2 linked regions of the Struthio camelus genome follow. The protein of the gene in region 2 interacts with the protein of the main gene of each other region in a biochemical or structural test. Links are inferred from orthologs where the notes say so. Each region holds a gene or a part of one and is shown on either strand. Other genes may lie near its edges.

Evidence for each region. The genes of interacting proteins can lie anywhere in the genome.
Region 1: the proteins of UBE3C (region 2) and PSMD2 form a complex in vitro, tested with the Homo sapiens proteins (2 studies listed by BioGRID). The link is inferred for Struthio camelus from reciprocal best matches to the Homo sapiens genes UBE3C and PSMD2.

What each region holds. Positions count from the first base shown.
Region 1 is NC_090950.1:22,661,399-22,669,187, reverse strand, and holds the start of PSMD2 (26S proteasome non-ATPase regulatory subunit 2), read right to left. Parts: upstream 3,089-7,789; 5' UTR 3,065-3,088; coding exon 2,930-3,064; intron 1,503-2,929; coding exon 1,446-1,502; intron 778-1,445; coding exon 613-777; intron 361-612; coding exon 239-360; intron 1-238. Other genes in the region: ECE2 (endothelin-converting enzyme 2), read left to right, coding at 5,476-5,517, 7,400-7,486. UniProt on the Homo sapiens protein: Component of the 26S proteasome, a multiprotein complex involved in the ATP-dependent degradation of ubiquitinated proteins.
Region 2 is NC_090943.1:10,788,458-10,796,475, forward strand, and holds the start of UBE3C (ubiquitin-protein ligase E3C), read left to right. Parts: upstream 1-4,958; 5' UTR 4,959-5,071; coding exon 5,072-5,137; intron 5,138-8,018. UniProt on the Homo sapiens protein: E3 ubiquitin-protein ligase that specifically catalyzes 'Lys-29'- and 'Lys-48'-linked polyubiquitin chains.

The sequences.
Region 1 (7,789 bases), on a different chromosome or scaffold from region 2:
TCCTGTGAGAGCTAATGGTAAACTCATGGGAGGAAGAGGGTTAAGAGCAGAGATTACAGAGGCCGGGCACCTCAGTTCTCTTTGGCAGTGAGATCTCTGCAGCTGGCAGATTGCTGCCAACAGATGATGAGGTAACACACACAGACATGACAGGGACAGCCTAGTCAAAGCCCAGTGAGTGGGGATTCCTCCTCCGAGCGCCTGTCCCTCCCTGAGTCCTGCTCCGACCCAGCCTTACCTGACGTATTCATGCCCCCAAGACGCCAGCTCCTCCTGGGAGCCCACCAGCCGGTACTTCAGACACTCGCGCTCCCCACTCATGGTCATGGCCAGAACAGAAATGATGTCTGCGGCAAAACGCTGGAGGAAGAGTGCCAGATGTTCAGACACACCCTGGGCACGAGGGAGCGAGGGCAGCCCACACCAGCCAGAAACACCCTCCCTGTGCCCACAAGCAATCACACGTGGCGCAGGCATGGCGCTGGCAAGTTATAATTCACCAGCGCGGGTCACAGAGGGTGATCTTAGATCTCACACTCTAGCAGGGCTCTATGGTCATGTGCCCCAGCACTGTCCTACTGCCCTCCAGCTACACAGGACGGTTGGCTTTACCTTGTTCTCTCCAGGAGCCATGTTCTCATAGATCTCCTTCAGCTTGCCGTAGTGTGGCCGTAGGAATTTGAGGGGTTTGGGAACAGAGGTCATCGAGGTCGTGGAAGAACGGATTTGTCTCCGCAGCTCCTCCAGGGCAGGGCGATAGAGGGACGTATCCTTCTCCTGCAGAGCAAAACTGCCTGTCAGGAGGCAGGGGCTGGTTCCTGTGTCACCTCTCCACCTACCCTCCCCAAACATAGCATCCAGATCCAAGCATCCCCCTGCCCCAGCAGCCATCCAGCTGCCCACCCTCCAAGGCAGCCTGGCCTCCAGCAACACCAACATCTTCCATGATCAGGAAGAGCCAAGTCACACATTTGGGAAGGAAACTGGCATCACACAGCTCTGGGCCACGGTACCCCCTGTCTAAGGGTGGCAACAGCCCAGTCTCACACAGAAAACCTCCACTGCTCCCCAGTTCCAAGCAGGCATCTGGGTGAGCACACAAGCACTGTGCACGCATGCATCAAGCAGGCAAACTCCTGCCTTGCCAAGCCCACAGCATCTCCTTGAGCCAAAGTAGGTTCCCAGGGCTGAGGAGGAAGCACAGCAGGGGGAGGAAAGTCATCAGCACAAGGAGGCACAGCTCCCTTAGACACAGGTCAGACAGGCAGTAAGGCCGGGGGACGGACATCGCTGTGACAGGCAAGGGGGGGCCCCATTCAAGGAGAAGTCCCCCATCTCCACGGCATGAGAAACAAGTGCCTGTAACTGACGGATGGCCAGAAGCAAGTCTCAGCTGGGGTTCCCGACAAAGCAGCTCCTCACTGAGGGGCAAAGCGTGAACCTACCCCCAAGCGCTCCACCAACATCTCCAGCTCATCCTGCAGCTGCTTGTCTTCCTCAGACTGCAACAAGACACAGAAGAAAGCCAAGTTAAGGGGCTCAGCGCAGACACCCCCAGCTCCGGAGCACACCTCCCCCCCAGGGTACCATTACATCAACCCCTATACATGGGGAGGTCTCAGCACAGCCCTAAGGAACAGTTTGGTCCACGACTTTCCCCCCACCTCCAGCTTTTCCAGGAATTAAAGGTTTGGACTACCCCATGACTCCCGCCCCAGGAAGGCTCACTGGTACCCTTGCTGGGGGATAGGTGACAGAAGGGACTGCCTCCCTCCTCCTCACAGGGGACAGGTTTTGCTGTCCCCAAGATTTTTGACTTTAATCCCAGAAAGTCTCTCCTCAGCTTCATTCTCCACAGGGGTGGTATCAGTCTGCCACAAGCCCTGCTCCCCTTCTGGGATCTCTGTTTAGACCTCTGGGTGCCCTCACCCCTCACCCACAGGCCCCACGTGCCCCCAGGGTAGCTGCTTTCCTCCATGCATCGCAGGAATGGGGTAGGTGTCACCCTGGGGTGCTGGGCCATCTCCATAATGCACAGCCTCCAACAACCTCCACAGGGCACCATCCTGCCCCAGAGCAGTGTGGGGTCAGTGCCCCCATCACCCATCAGGACACCCCACGGAGAGGGGCATGGCAGGGAACTGCCCCGCAGCCGGCTCCTGCACAGCCTGCCACATCAGGGCACCGAGCAGGGTGCCCCGAGTGATGCCAGCACCCCTGCCCCGCTCCCATGGGGACCCCCGACCCCAGGAACATCCCCACCCCGTACCAGAAGGCACCTGATGTCACATGTGCACTCTGATTACAGCATGGGTCCCCAACTCGCAGTGCCACCCCCAGTGCCATCCCCACACCACGTCCAGAAGGGACCCTGCTTCAGGCCCTGATGTCACACGTGCACTCTGATTACATCACAGGCCCCAGCCCACAGCACCGCACACCCTCAATGACATGACACCCTGCGGGGTCCCCCACTGCCATCCCCACACCACGTCCAGAAGGGACCCTGCTTCAGGCCCTGATGTCACACGTGCACTCTGATTACATCCCAGGCCCCCTAACCCGCGGTGTCACACGCCCCCCGTGACGTCAGGCCCCGCGGCCCCCAGCAGTCCCCCCACAGGCGCACCCCCCAGGGCAGGGAACCCTCGGCGTCATCACCTGGGCACCCCCTGACGTCACGGCCCCTTCCAGAAGGGGCGCCCCTCACCCCACTCACGTCACACGCCCCCTCCGCAGGGCGCCCCCGCACCCCAAGCACGTCACGGGTGCCGCGGCGGGGGGGCCCGCCACCCCGCTGACGTCACGCCGCGTCCCAGTGACGTCGGGCCGCCGCGGGAGGGGGCGGCAGCGGGGCGGCCCGGCCCGGCCCGGCCCGGCCGGGGCCGTGACTCAGCTCCGGGCCGCGGCGCGGCGCGGCGGCGCTCACCAGCTCCTGCTCCTTGTCGGGCCCCGCGGGGGGGTCCCGGCGGTCCCTGCCCCAGGGCGGCGTGGGCTTCTCGTCGCCGCCCGCCCCGGGGCCGCCCTGCACCCGGCTCTGCCCGCCGCCGCCGCCCGCCTCCATGGCTGCTCCGCCGCGCACCGGCCGCGCTCTGCGCCTGCGCCACCGCCAGCGCCAATCGGCGCCCGCCGCTGCGCTGACGCCACCGCCGCGCGCCGATGGGGGCGGGGCCTGGGGGGCGGGGCGACCCCCACGTGGGGCGGCCGGGGCGCAGCGCCGAGCGCCGCCGGGGCCGGGCCGGGCGGGAGCGCCGGCACCCCGGGCTGGGGGACCCGGCGGGGCTGGCGCCCCGGGGCAGGGGAGCCGGGAGCGGCGGCACCGCGGGGTGGCGACAGGGTCAGCGGACCGGCAACGCTGCCACCCCCGGGCCGGGGGACCCGGGAGCGGTGGCACCCTGGGGACAGGGCCAAGGGACCCGGGAGCGCCAGTGTCCCAGGGCCAGGGGACCCGGGAGCAGTGGCACCCTGGGGACAGGGCCAGGGGACCCGGGAGCGGTGGCACCCTGGGAACAGGGACAGGGGACCCGGGAGCGCCAGTGTCCCAGGACCAGGGGACCCGGGAGCGGTGGCACCCTAAGGTGGGTAACCCAGGCATGGTGGCACCCTGGGGGGCTGGGGGACCCAGAGGTGCTGGCCCCCAGGCAGGGGCACGGCCGGCAGCAGCACCTCCCTGCCCGCTGCCAGGATGCCGAGGCGCCACCGGAGCAGGGCGAGTGCTGACGCGTCCCCAGGGCCCGGTGGGCTCCCCGTGCCCCAGCCCCCGGACCTGACCCGCCACAGACACGCGGGCACTCGTGCCCTCGCACGCACACCCCTGGGCGCACACGCGGCCCTGCACGCGCGTGCCGCCCCGTGGCACCGGGCCCCGCGGTTCCGGCAGATAGCACTGCCATGTCCCGCACCACCATGCACCGCCCACCCTGCGCAGCGGGAGCACCCCACGGGGCACCCTCGGGTACCACCGTCCCCTGCGCCGCGCACACCCGGACCCCAGGCCTCCCTCCATGCCCTGGCTGCCTTTGCAGCACCAGGGGATGCTGCTCTTCGCGCTGGTCTTGCCCCTGGTGCGAGGTGCCACCGCCGTGGACACCCTGGGGCTCACCCTCGCGCACCGCCAGGGCCAGGCGGGTGACTGTGCACCCACATGTACAGGCGATGCACACCCGTGCCTGCCCCCTGCCCCCCGAGCCCGGCTGCACACCCGTGGGGGGTGAGGGGGGCTGCCAGTGGTGTGAGCCCTCCGTGCCAGTGTCCAACCGTCGGTGCTGCGACACGTGTCGAGTGCCACGGTCCCGGGCTGGTGTGTGTGTGTGTGTGTGTGTGCGTGTTAATGCATATGCGTGTGCGTGTGCAACACCTGCGAGCAGGCGGAAGGCTGTACGTGCACAACACTATGCCAGGGGCAGTGCCAGCATGTGCCCCGTGGGGCCAGGAGCCGCCCCAGCTGCAGGTCCCCTGGAAGGGGTGGCTGAAGCCGCAGCGTAGGTGTCCCCCAAGGTCCCTGTGCCTCAACACGCTCAGCGCCCCGCTCCCTGCACCCTGCGCACAAACCGGGCGCTCTCCGGTGACACCCAGCCCCAGGCAGGTGGCCGCACAGGGGTTGCCTCTCTGAGTGTTGCCGAGTGTGGCTGCGTGTGTGAGCTGGGGTGTGAGACTGTCCGTGCAGCTGTGCGCGTGCAAGGGTGGCTGTGAGGATACCCTGGCTGCCCGGGGCTGGGTGCGCTCCTGTGCCGCGCGACTGTGTCAGCGCCTGCTGGCGTGGGCCTCTGGGTGTTTGTGCGCCTTTGCCTGTGTGTTGGTGTCCTGGGGGCGGAGGGTGGTGCGTGTCTGTGTGTGTGTGTGCGCGCGTGTTGGCGTACCGGTGTGCGAGGCTCCGTGCCGCCGCCTGTGCATGTGTCGGAGCACCGGTGCGGGGCCGCGCTGCGGTGGCTGTGTGCGGTTTGCAGCCGGGTGCCGGTGCGTGTGCCCGGGTGCTGCAGCCCCGCGCCCCTTCCCGCGCCCTGCTGCTCGCGGCGCGGCTGCAGGTGGCGGGGCGGCGGCGGGGGCCGGGGCCGCTCCCGGGGCCGGTGCGGGCGGCGGCCCCGCCCGTGCGCGCGGCGGGCGCGGCCCCTCGCGGTCACCTTGGCGGCGGCGGCGGCGGGGCCGGGCGGAGCGGAGCGGAGCGGCCGGGCTGCGCACGCCGGTGTCCCCGCTCCCCCCGCCGCCGGGCCCCCGGCCCCGGCCCCAGCCGGCGCCCACCCCCGGTGCGGCCGCGCCGGCCCGCCGGTGCGCAGCCCTCCGCGGCTCCCCGGGCCCCGTCCCTCCTCGCCGGGGCGGCCGCCGCCGGCCCCGCCAGCGCCGGTGCCCCGGGGGCGGCGCGGGCCATGGCAGCTGCAGCGGCGGAGGCAGGCGGCGCTGCGGCGGCGGCGGCGGCGGCGGCGGGGGCCCGGCGCGGCCCGGGCGGGGAGCGGAGCTAGGCGGGAGGGGCGGCCCGGGATGGCCAGGATGAACGTGGCCCTTCAGGAGCTCGGACACGCCGTGAGTCCCGGCGGCGGCGGCGGCGGCGGGGGCCGGGGGTGGGGAACGGGACAGAGGGACAGAGAGGGGGGACAGGGGACAGGGGGATGAGGGACCGCAGGGGACAGGAGATGGGGGCCGGGGGGCAGGGAGAGCCGGCGGAGAAGAGTCCCCGGGGTGCTGGGGGGCTGCCCCGAGGGAGTTGGGGGGCCCCCGGAGCTTGGGGGGCTCTGGGGGCCCTGGGGGGACTCAGGGAGCTGGGGGACGAGAGACTAGTGGATGCAGAGGGGCTGGATGGGTCTGGGGGCTGGAGGAAATTGGGGGGCTAGAGGGGTCAGGTGGGCATAGCAGACCCCCCACTGGAGGGACCCATCTCCCCTGGTGAGGAGGAGAAGGGGGAGAAGGGATCCCTGTGCCCTGTGCCTGTGCAGGGCAGGGGAGCTGGGACACTTTGGGGAGGGGGGCACGAGGGACCCTACAGCCCCTGCTCCGGAGGAGCTTGGAGCCAGCCTGGGGGCAGACCACTCCACTTGTAGGGTCCTGAGCCAGCACCCCGCGAGGGAGCAGGTGTGTGTACCCAGCTCCAAGGCCTCAGCCCCATGAGGGGCCGGGGCCGGAGTGGGTCGGCAGCAGGAGCCTCAGCGCTGCGACACCCCATGTGTCCTAGACCTGCCTTGGGGGTGCCCGGAGCTGCAGGGGAGGGAGTACAGCCAGCCAGTGCTGGGGGGATGGGGCCCCCCCAGGTGGGGGAGCGCAGGATGGGGGAGCCCACGGTGGGGGAACCCGGCTCGCCGAGCTCCCACGAGATGCCAAGCCAGCCCTCGCAGACGCCAGCGGTTCCCGGGAACCCGCCCCGGCGAGGGGTTTCCTGCCAACCGTCGATCCCCGCTGCCTCGCGTGGGTTCCTGCCTGGGCAGCCCTTTGCGGAGCCCCCCGCCCCAGCAGGGTAGCAGCAGGCAGGAGCTGGGCACGGGCACTTGCCCCACTTCATCCCCTGCCTGGCATCCGCCCCCCACTCCCCCCGGCTCCTTCACAGTCCCCACTGGGGGGACCAGGCCCGCAGACAGCCCCATGGCATCGGCCTGAGTCTGTGGCTTTGGGCAAGAAGGGTGAGCCACAACCCGCCCAGGCTTTAACTCTGAAGCCTAAGGATGGCTGTGACCAGCCGCATTGTTGATTGTCTTCCGCCGAAGCATCCAGCCTTTTCCTCTGGCTCATCCCCCCCTCAAGTTTCTGGCTCGTCTCCACCGCTTCTTTCTTAGCTGATTCTTGGCAGCCCTTGCGTCTGGCTCGGTACAAACAGCCCTTGCAAGGCCGCCCCGGAAAGCCTGGCGTGTGGGGGGATCCTAGCCCAGCCTGCCGAAAATTCGCTTCTGTCCCCGCGTTCAGCCCCCGTGGAGGCCCTGCCTGCCCTTGGGCAAGCGCGCAGGTTGGCCCACGGCCGGGGGCTCCCGCCAGGGCTGGAGGCGCTTCCAGATGTTTCGGGGCCCGTGCACATCTGCGTGGAAAGTTCCAGGCAGGGGGGGAGGGACGAGGTGGCGGCGCTAGGCAACGGCGCGACTGGTTGCCTGGCAACAGGGACCACGTCTCCGTGGCGATGTGGCACCTGTCCGTGCGCCTGATGCCTCGGCCGCCATGGCGACGTGGAGGGATGCTCCGGCTGCCCGCCTTGGGCCCCCTGGCCCCCCTGGGGAGGACGAGGAGGGGTGCCGAGGGCGAGGAAGGCTAGGGGCTGGGGCGAGAGCCCGGGGCACCAAGGGACTTCAGGCCCACCCCAGTGTCCCACACACCCGGCCGGGCGGGCACCTGCCATCCCTGTGAGCACCGGTGGGGGCCGGGGAGAGCTGCAGCACTGGGCACACCCCCCCCCATCCCCGTCCCAGCCCGCTCTTTCCCCCGGCAGATGCCTGACTACAAGCGTGCCACGCTGCAGGATGACGAGGGCCCCGAGCCAGCAGGGGACGGCAGCGCCTCTCCCGACAGCATGGAGGTGAGCTCTGCCCCGAAACGCTGCCCGCCTGCCTGCACCGGGACCCCTCCAAGCCCCCCTCCCCTCCCTCAGCCCTGCCGTCTTCCTGAGACTGCCTGCACTGGGGTGGGCACGAGAGCAGAGGCCGGGAGCCAAGGCAGCCCTGGCACTTCCCAGGGCTGCGCTGGGAGGCAGCCAAAATGCGGCAGAGAGTCTGTCCAGGGCAGAGTCCGTCCTTGTGGCTGGGGGGCTGCCAGCACCCACTGCGGGGGCAGGGGGCTCAGGCCCCTTCGGGGGGATGCCCCATCTCTCAGGTGGCCCCAG
Region 2 (8,018 bases):
GAAAATGCCCATTTGTTCAGTACTCACTGAGCAGGAGCTACCTTCAGCTAGTGCAGGGACATTAGGACATGGTGCATTCCGATCTTCATCGCTGCAGTATGCTCAGTGAAGCAAGTTTAGAAAAGGGCCACGTACTTCAGACATAATCAGCCTGCACCATCAATCACCATCTCTTACCGAGTCCCATAGTTAGGCGGCCCAGGGAGCTAAACTAGCAAAAATTAATCTGGAAGCATGACCAAGCCCCACACAAAGACACAAGTTATTTATTTGTACGATGGTCAAATTAAGATTTTTTCGTATTCTCAAAAATGTATCCATTATTTCAAATGATACTTTTCAGAATCGAGATCGAGGTAGATTCTTGAAGTAGAAAATTTCAATCCAAACGGCTAAATCTGTCACTGTACACAAGTAAGTATTCCCCTGCCCTTGTGACAGTGATCTTCTAATCAAATAATTTTGGGTAACTTTAACTAAAGGACTAGCTGGCTGGACTGTATGTAGTAAGCCATGTCCTTATCTGTGTTGTTATACGCCTCTATAGAAACAAAGGTAATGAATGTCCTTGTCGTTATTAATTTACACTTTGCTTCAAGTTGATAGTGAAAGTAAGCAAAAACATTTCACTTTCAGTACAGTCCTTTGACTTTCTAGCTCCAGCACAGTTGTAAGATATAAAGTAATACTTAAATGTCCAGGTGTTGAATTTATTTAATTGTCCTGTCAAAACTATGCTTGAATTGCATATGTTGCACATTTACTAGTAGTTTTGGTAAAAACAAAACAAAGGGAAAACGGCAAAAAAGTAATTTGAAATATTTCTGAATCCAGAGTTGGAGTCCTGTTTTAGTCACCGCTCTCAAAGAACAATGTAGCCAGCCTGGATGGAGTCATAAGGAGGGCAACAAAACTGACTGGTAATTTGGAAATATGGACAGATGACAAAAAATTGAAAGCATATTTTTTTTTGGTCTAAAATAAAAAAGACTGAGAGAGAATAACTAATAGTCTTCATAAAGGATGCCTTGAAAAGGAAAACGATCAGTTGTTCTGTGTGTTCTCTGTGGGCAGGAGACAAATAATCATTTAGCAGGAACTAACAGAAATTTAAGTTGGATATTAAAAGAAGATGTATAACTGTCTGTTGTGAGCAGCTAGGCACGTTGTGGGACTCCAGGTTTGCAGTGGTTTACCTGAGCTGTATTTGATACAGAAGTGTGAAAGCTGCTTTAGAGTGGCATATAATTAGAAATACATATATTCAGAGATATTTCATATGTACTTACAGAAATTGATCCCTTTTGCAGAGCATGGGGATGGACTAGAGGTCATACCTACACCTGTATTTCTAAGATTTTTTATGTTTCTAATTCCCAAGGGCATTCATATTCACAACCTTTTTTGTTTATTAACACAAATACGGAAAATAAAAAAAATGAATTGTCTTGGAAATGGAAGAGTTGTCATTGGAGATTTTCAGCTACACAAATGAAATGGCCCTACACATGTCATTTCAAATAAAAAGCAGAAAAGGTTGATATCTGTTGCACAGAGTGAAGAAAATGTCAAGCAGTTCCATCTTTTTAACAGACTGTTGTGTGAAGAACAATTGGACTTCTGCGGTCCTGTTGCACCTGGAAGCAATGTTTGCAGATGCTTATGCCTGCAAGGGGAAAAGAGAACAATGTAAAAGGTAGAGAACTGTGATTTGGAGACAGTAAAAAATCTCATGGAATGTGCAATAGGAAAGGAGACGAGAAAGATGGCAAACTCCGTATGGAGCTAGCTATTGCAGCTGGTGAGGCAAAACAAGTGAACTCAGGCGGGTGTTAAAAGAGGCATACATAAAACAGTAGCATTCCTAAATTCTTGGGTATTTTTTTGTCAGAGCCCTGAGTGCACTAATAGGCCTTAAATGCCCTGACCAACCCCAGCTGCGACCCCCACTCACTCACTCCTCTGCTGATCGGTCCCAGACCTCCCTTTAAGCTCAGGCATACCTGTCGCCAGCCCCGCCCCCCCGGATGGACCTTGGACCTACATTGTAGCCTTGTCTCCTGCTGTTCCTGACTGCACTCTTTTCATCCCTTGGCCTTGTCTGGGACTATCGATAAACCCCGTTGCCAGCGGCTGGCTCTGCCTACTGTGTTTGGACCACGTGCGATTGCACCTGGGTCAGGGAAGGCAATGCCAGCGTTGCGGTCACCCTCGGCGCCCACTTGTCTTCCTTCTTGGAGCAGCCCCGCTCTTGCTGCTCCCTGAAAATATTAAACTCTTCACCATTCTGACTTCTTGACTAACCACCACTGATTCTTCTGATTCTTGTACATTTCCTCCACTGTGATATAAATGTATTGTTTGCACTAAAAAGAAACACAAAAATAAAATACATTTCATGGTTTCTTCTGCTTCTGTAAACTCACTGTATTCAAGACACCAACATCCAGTTGTTTATCCTGTTATATAAGTTATTTTCATTTAATAAAATTACACCTAGAGTAGCCTCTAGAGGCACACACAAATCATTCAGATTTCTCAGACACGCATTCATCACTTGGGCTCATGTCATTTAACAGCCATGAAAAACTCATCAAACTACCTCTTAGGAGGTAACAGCCTGGATCATCAAGAGATCTTGTGTCCATCTAACGCTGAAGTTGGCCCTTGTTAAGGATGTATCTGCTCAAAACCTATTTCATCTAACCACCACCCAATGCAGTTTCACATTCGTTCTCCTTGCTACACGAGGAGGGAATCCCTAAGTTGGCTTTGCTACTGATAAAAATTCCACACAAAACTGTGACCTGACAGTTTGTTTCTGAGCTAAGGGAAAGCAATGAATTAACTGCTATGGCCATCTGGATTAGCCCTTTAGTTTTCTGTATGAGACCTACATAGTTTATCAAGGCTGAAGGCCACGCAAAAAGAATGCAGTCACGCTTTGAAAAAAATTCATTTCCACTCTTGAGGGTTCTCCCATTCTCCTGGAGCCAAACTGAACCCTAATGGTGTGATATTGCATCAACGATGCAATGTGTTGAAACTCTGAACCAGCATTTGACATGGTATTACACAACGCTCAAACCTCAACTGCATCAGTAAGCAGTATTTACAGGAGGCCAGGCTTGCTAATACCGAAACTACGTTATCTCAGGAAATACAAGGCTGATGTTCACCCTTGTCAAGCACAACCTCCCTTACGAAATGTCTGAAATTTTTAAATTCAGGCTCTTCTGAATCATCCAAATCTGAAGAAATATCAACAAACATATAATCTAACACTCAGCCTGGAAATAATTAAATGGCATTTTCTTTTCTGTAAGAACTAGTCCGAAGTGCATACACTATCATCTGGCATGGACCCTGCTATTTGGCCGTTATGATAGGGTGAGGTGAGAAATCACAAGTTAGGGCCCAGTCAAATTTCCTCTAAAGCAGAAGGAAGCTGGATTTGATCATTTACGTTAATTTAGCACCTCTTAGTTGCAGAGCGATTAACTGCTTTTTGTTATTGCGTCCCTCAGTATTATCTCTGTATCTAGAACAACGCAATCAGAGCTGAAAAATGGAGTACAGGCTAAAGAAACGTAGAGCAAAGCAGCCTCAAGCTTAGTTTCACCATTTCGTTCTGCTGCTTTTATACACCTGGCTTTCTTCGTTGTCTTGATACCTCAGTCCTGTACGGAGTCCACTTGCACGAAGGGGTTTGGTAATTGGGGTTTCACAGCCGTACTGGTGCCTGCAACTAGTGTTTTCAGGATGCTGACATTCAGCTGCTCATTGAAGTCTTTGCAACAGGCTGATGCCCCAGCATACGCTTATCCTACAAAAAGCACAGCAATGTGTTTATTTATAAAAATAATTTGTGTTATGATCCTTTCTCCCCCCGCCATGTCTGCTCATTAAGAGCACACGCGCTGTTCCGTACAGCATAACAACGCTATCATGATTAGCAGCAACTTCCGCTGTCATCACGTATTTAGGCCGAGCAAGACGGCCGCGCGGGAGGAGCGGGCCAGGCCTCCGCGGCCAGCGCTGCCCAGCCCACGCGTATGGGCCTCGCAGCTCTGCCGGTCCCAGCTCCCCTGCGCGGCCGCCCAAAGCTCACGCTCACAAGGGGAAAGCAACGTGCGCGCCCGCCCGCGCTAACACCGGCGTCGGGCTGTTAAAACGCAGGCCCCGACCCGCCGTTTCCAGCGTTTCAAAGGCGTTTGGCCTTTGGGGTCAGGAGGACGTTGCCTACGCGCAGCTAGGCCTCTCCTTCCTAGAGGCGGGAAAGCTGGAGCCAAGGGGACAAAACTGCCCCGCTAAGGGGAAAAAAAGACCCGACCGGCAGGAAGCGACGGCGGTGGGGAGAGATGAGGAGCTGGGCCGGGCGCCAGGAGGGCGAGCGCGGACACCCGCCGCTTCGGCCCCGGCGCGCAGGCAGCCCCGGGCCGGGGCCGGGCTCGGAGGAAGCGGGGCGGCGCGGCGGGGGCCGGCAGCGGGCTGAGGAAGGGGCTGACAGGAGCGAGGGCCGCCGCCCGCCGCGGGGGTGACCCGGCTGCCGCCGCCGCCTCCACAGAAGCCGGCGGAGGCGCTGCCGAGGGGCGGCGCGCGCGTGCGCGCGGGCGGCGCGGCGCGGCGGAGGCGGCGGCGGCGGCGGGAGCGGGAGCGTCGCGGCGGTGGCGGCGGGAGCGCGCCGGGGAGGCTGCGGGCGGCGGCCATCTTCTCGCTACAGCCGGCTGCTTCCCCCAGTGCAAGTGTAGCAGCCTCGCCAGCCCCCTCCTCCGCTCCCTCCTCCCTCCCACCACACTGAGCCGTAGCCGCCGGTCAGGAAGGGGGTGGCCGGGGAAGCGAAGGCCGCGGGGAGGCGGCGGCGGCGGCGGTGGTGGGGGAGCCGGGCCGCCGTGTGGGCAGCAGCCCCTCGGGGGCGGCAGCGGCGCGGGCCTGGGGGTGCCGGCCCGGGGGCTTGCGGCTGCCCGCGGCCCCGGGGCTGCCCGCTCGCGGCCGGTCGGCCGGCGCCCCCGTCGCCGTGTCAGCTCGGGAGGGGGCCGCGCCGCCTCTCCCGATGGGATAAGCTGTAAACATGTTCAGCTTTGAAGGGGATTTCAAAACAAGGCCCAAGGTGTCCCTCGGAGGAGCGAGTCGGAAGGTAAGCGGCGCCGCCGGGGCTGTCTCCCTGTGTGTCTGCTCCGGGTGCTGGGGTGTTTTGGGTTTTTTTTTGTTGTTGTTTTTCCTCCCCGTCCCCAGCCTATCTTGCCGTTTTTATTATCGTTATCTTTATCGTTGGGCCTTCAGAAACGGGAGCAGCTATGACTAAGGTTTAATAGGGAAAAATCCTCCCCTCGTGATGATGTATTTATCTGTGCTCTCCCTGGCTCCGTTTTTTTTTTTTTCCCCCTTCTTTCCCCTCCTTCTTCCCCCTGTAATCAGGCCACACGCACCCTGCCGGGCCCGGAGCGTGTAAGAATTGTGGGAGGTGAGGAAACGGCTCCAGAGCTCGTCGGCGGCGCCGGCGCTGCAGCCCGCAGACCTCCTGTCGTTTTGTGTGTCCTCCCACCCCCCCCCCCCCCCCCAAAAAAAAAAAAAGGTCCCGTGAGAGGCCGGCAAGGAGCATGCCTGGCTGGAGGAATGGGGCCTTACAAAAGCTGAGATCAATGCAAAGTAAAGCAAAGCGTGGGGGGAAGAGGGGGAGGCTTCTCCCAAATGAGTGAAGGTTGACAGGTCGCAGGTTTAGCTTTTCTCGGTTAAGTTTACGCTCAGTCGACTTGTGGTGTGCAGAGGGAGTAGCAGTTAATTGTCTGCTCTACCAGGCTGTTGAGTCTTCTGGTGTTTATTGCTGAGAAAGAAGTTGGATGGCTTAGCTCTGGCTGATCGGAAAGGATGGTCAAGTGTTTAGTCAGCCTCAGAGGGGCATAGAGCTATTGAAGAGCAGGATAAATGACAAAAGTGTTTTTAGCCGGGCCCTGATTTTAAGGGTCGCTTTGATTTATCAGTAAAGTACTGATTCCTCTTGTTATCATTGAGCGTTGTTGTGTGGGAAGCTATTTATTGTTATGTCATTACTATCACTGAATCTTAATGGGAGTAAAAAATGTTACTGTGCATTATAAGCAAATTCATTTACCTGGAACTTGTAAGGCTTGGCAGTATAGTTAGGAAGCTGAACTAAAATACTGTACTACCTGATATTAAAACTGCAGTGAAGTTTGCTTTTTGATGTCTTCTGTTACATATTTTATTAAAGAGAATGTGTAGCAGAACTATATTTAATTTGTTCAACTTTTCCCCTGAATCATCTTCTGATAATCCTAAGCCATTTCTGTCCCTTAGGCTTCATACATGACATTACCTGCGTCAAAAATAGAATAAATGTTACCCAGTTGAAATGGGCATTGGCAGAACACGTCCTGGTCCTCAGATATATGTTTTAGATAATTTGCAACTTTTGGCATCAACTTGCTAGTAGTATTACTTTCAGAACATGTTTCCTGCTCCAGAAATAAACAACCGTTATAGCATCTTCTGCTACGCTTACTAATTTATTGATCCGATCAAAGTTGCAGCAGAATTCTGTGTCATAATTATAAATAATTATGCGTTTTAATTATATGGGACAAATTTATTAAACTTATGCAGGTATAAAGATAAATTTACAAGGGCAAATGTTAAAAGATAATGTGGAAACTGAAACTGATGCGTAGCTTTAACTCCATCAAATATAAAGACCATGTTTCCTGATGAGGTTGATAATGGCTGGTCAGCGATTTTACATGGGTACACTAAAGTGCTTGTGCTGTATCAGTGGAATAAAATTAGTCCCAGCTTTGGACATTCCGATTGCGGGCATCATAGAAAGATCTTGGCATAGCTGCTTGTTTTCAGAAACTATGGGCAGTGAAAGTACTAGTGAAAGAATTTATTTAAACAGTGTTAAGAATTCCTTTTAAAAATGCAACTTGCCTGAACTTTTTTGTGAACGTAATATAGCAGAGATTGGTGTGGCAAATGTTCCTGAGTTCCATGGATTTCTCATTTTATTGTCCCTCATCGCAGGCTTTTTGTGATCGTTTTTCTCTTACATGTAGGTTTCAGTTTTACAGAAGGCTGAATTCTAAAGTGTTCCCTTTCAGCTTTTTGTGTTCATGAAAATAATAAATTGCTCTTTGAACTTGTCCACCAACAGTAAATGTGTATTTTTTTAGAAAGATACAGTATGAAAATTCCAACTCTGAAAATCTGCTGGACAAATCGGGGCGCCTCTACAGTGCTCCACTAGAGTTAGCTGGATGCTTGGTACTGCCTGTTTCGATTCAGTTGGTGGAATAAAGCACCGCTCAGAAATACTGTCATAATCTGTATGCAGGTTATTTAATGCTAAGAATAACCCTTTGCCTGACTGGGGGAAGTCTCCCAACTTTTGCTACACCTGTATAGAGCTACATTATCAAAACCTTCCCAGCGTGAAAGCAGGGACTCCGGTTTAAGGACCTAGTCAGTGCTAGAGATGCTAGCAGTGTTCCTGATGTGGATGCAGCTACACCAAAGTAAACCATCAGCCAAACTGACTGCTAAGCGACTGGTTTTGCAAATATAACTGCAGCTGCAAACAATAACTGTGCTGGTCATGGATCACATGTGTTGATACCCCCATCCAACATTGCTGTGTTTGTCTGTAGTGCAGACATACTTAAGTTTGCTTAGGCCTCGCGAGGCTTAACTTTAACAAGTCCTACTAGCATAGACTCAATGGTAGGACTATAGCTCTATCTAAAGTGGAACTTGTAGTGGCAGTAACAGTGGCAATTAGAAAAATTGCAATCCCAAATGAAATGTCTGTAAACTTATAAAGACATAAGATAGATCAATTTAAATAGAGCTGTTAATTTGGAAAGATGAATTTGTTTAAGTTTTCCGATCGAAGAAGTACCTCTTTTATGATCTGCAACAGCTGGGCTTTTTTAAAAAAGGATGATGAGATGTGATATAGTATACTGTAGTTACTAGCAGCTTTCCTAACCAAAGCTACTGAA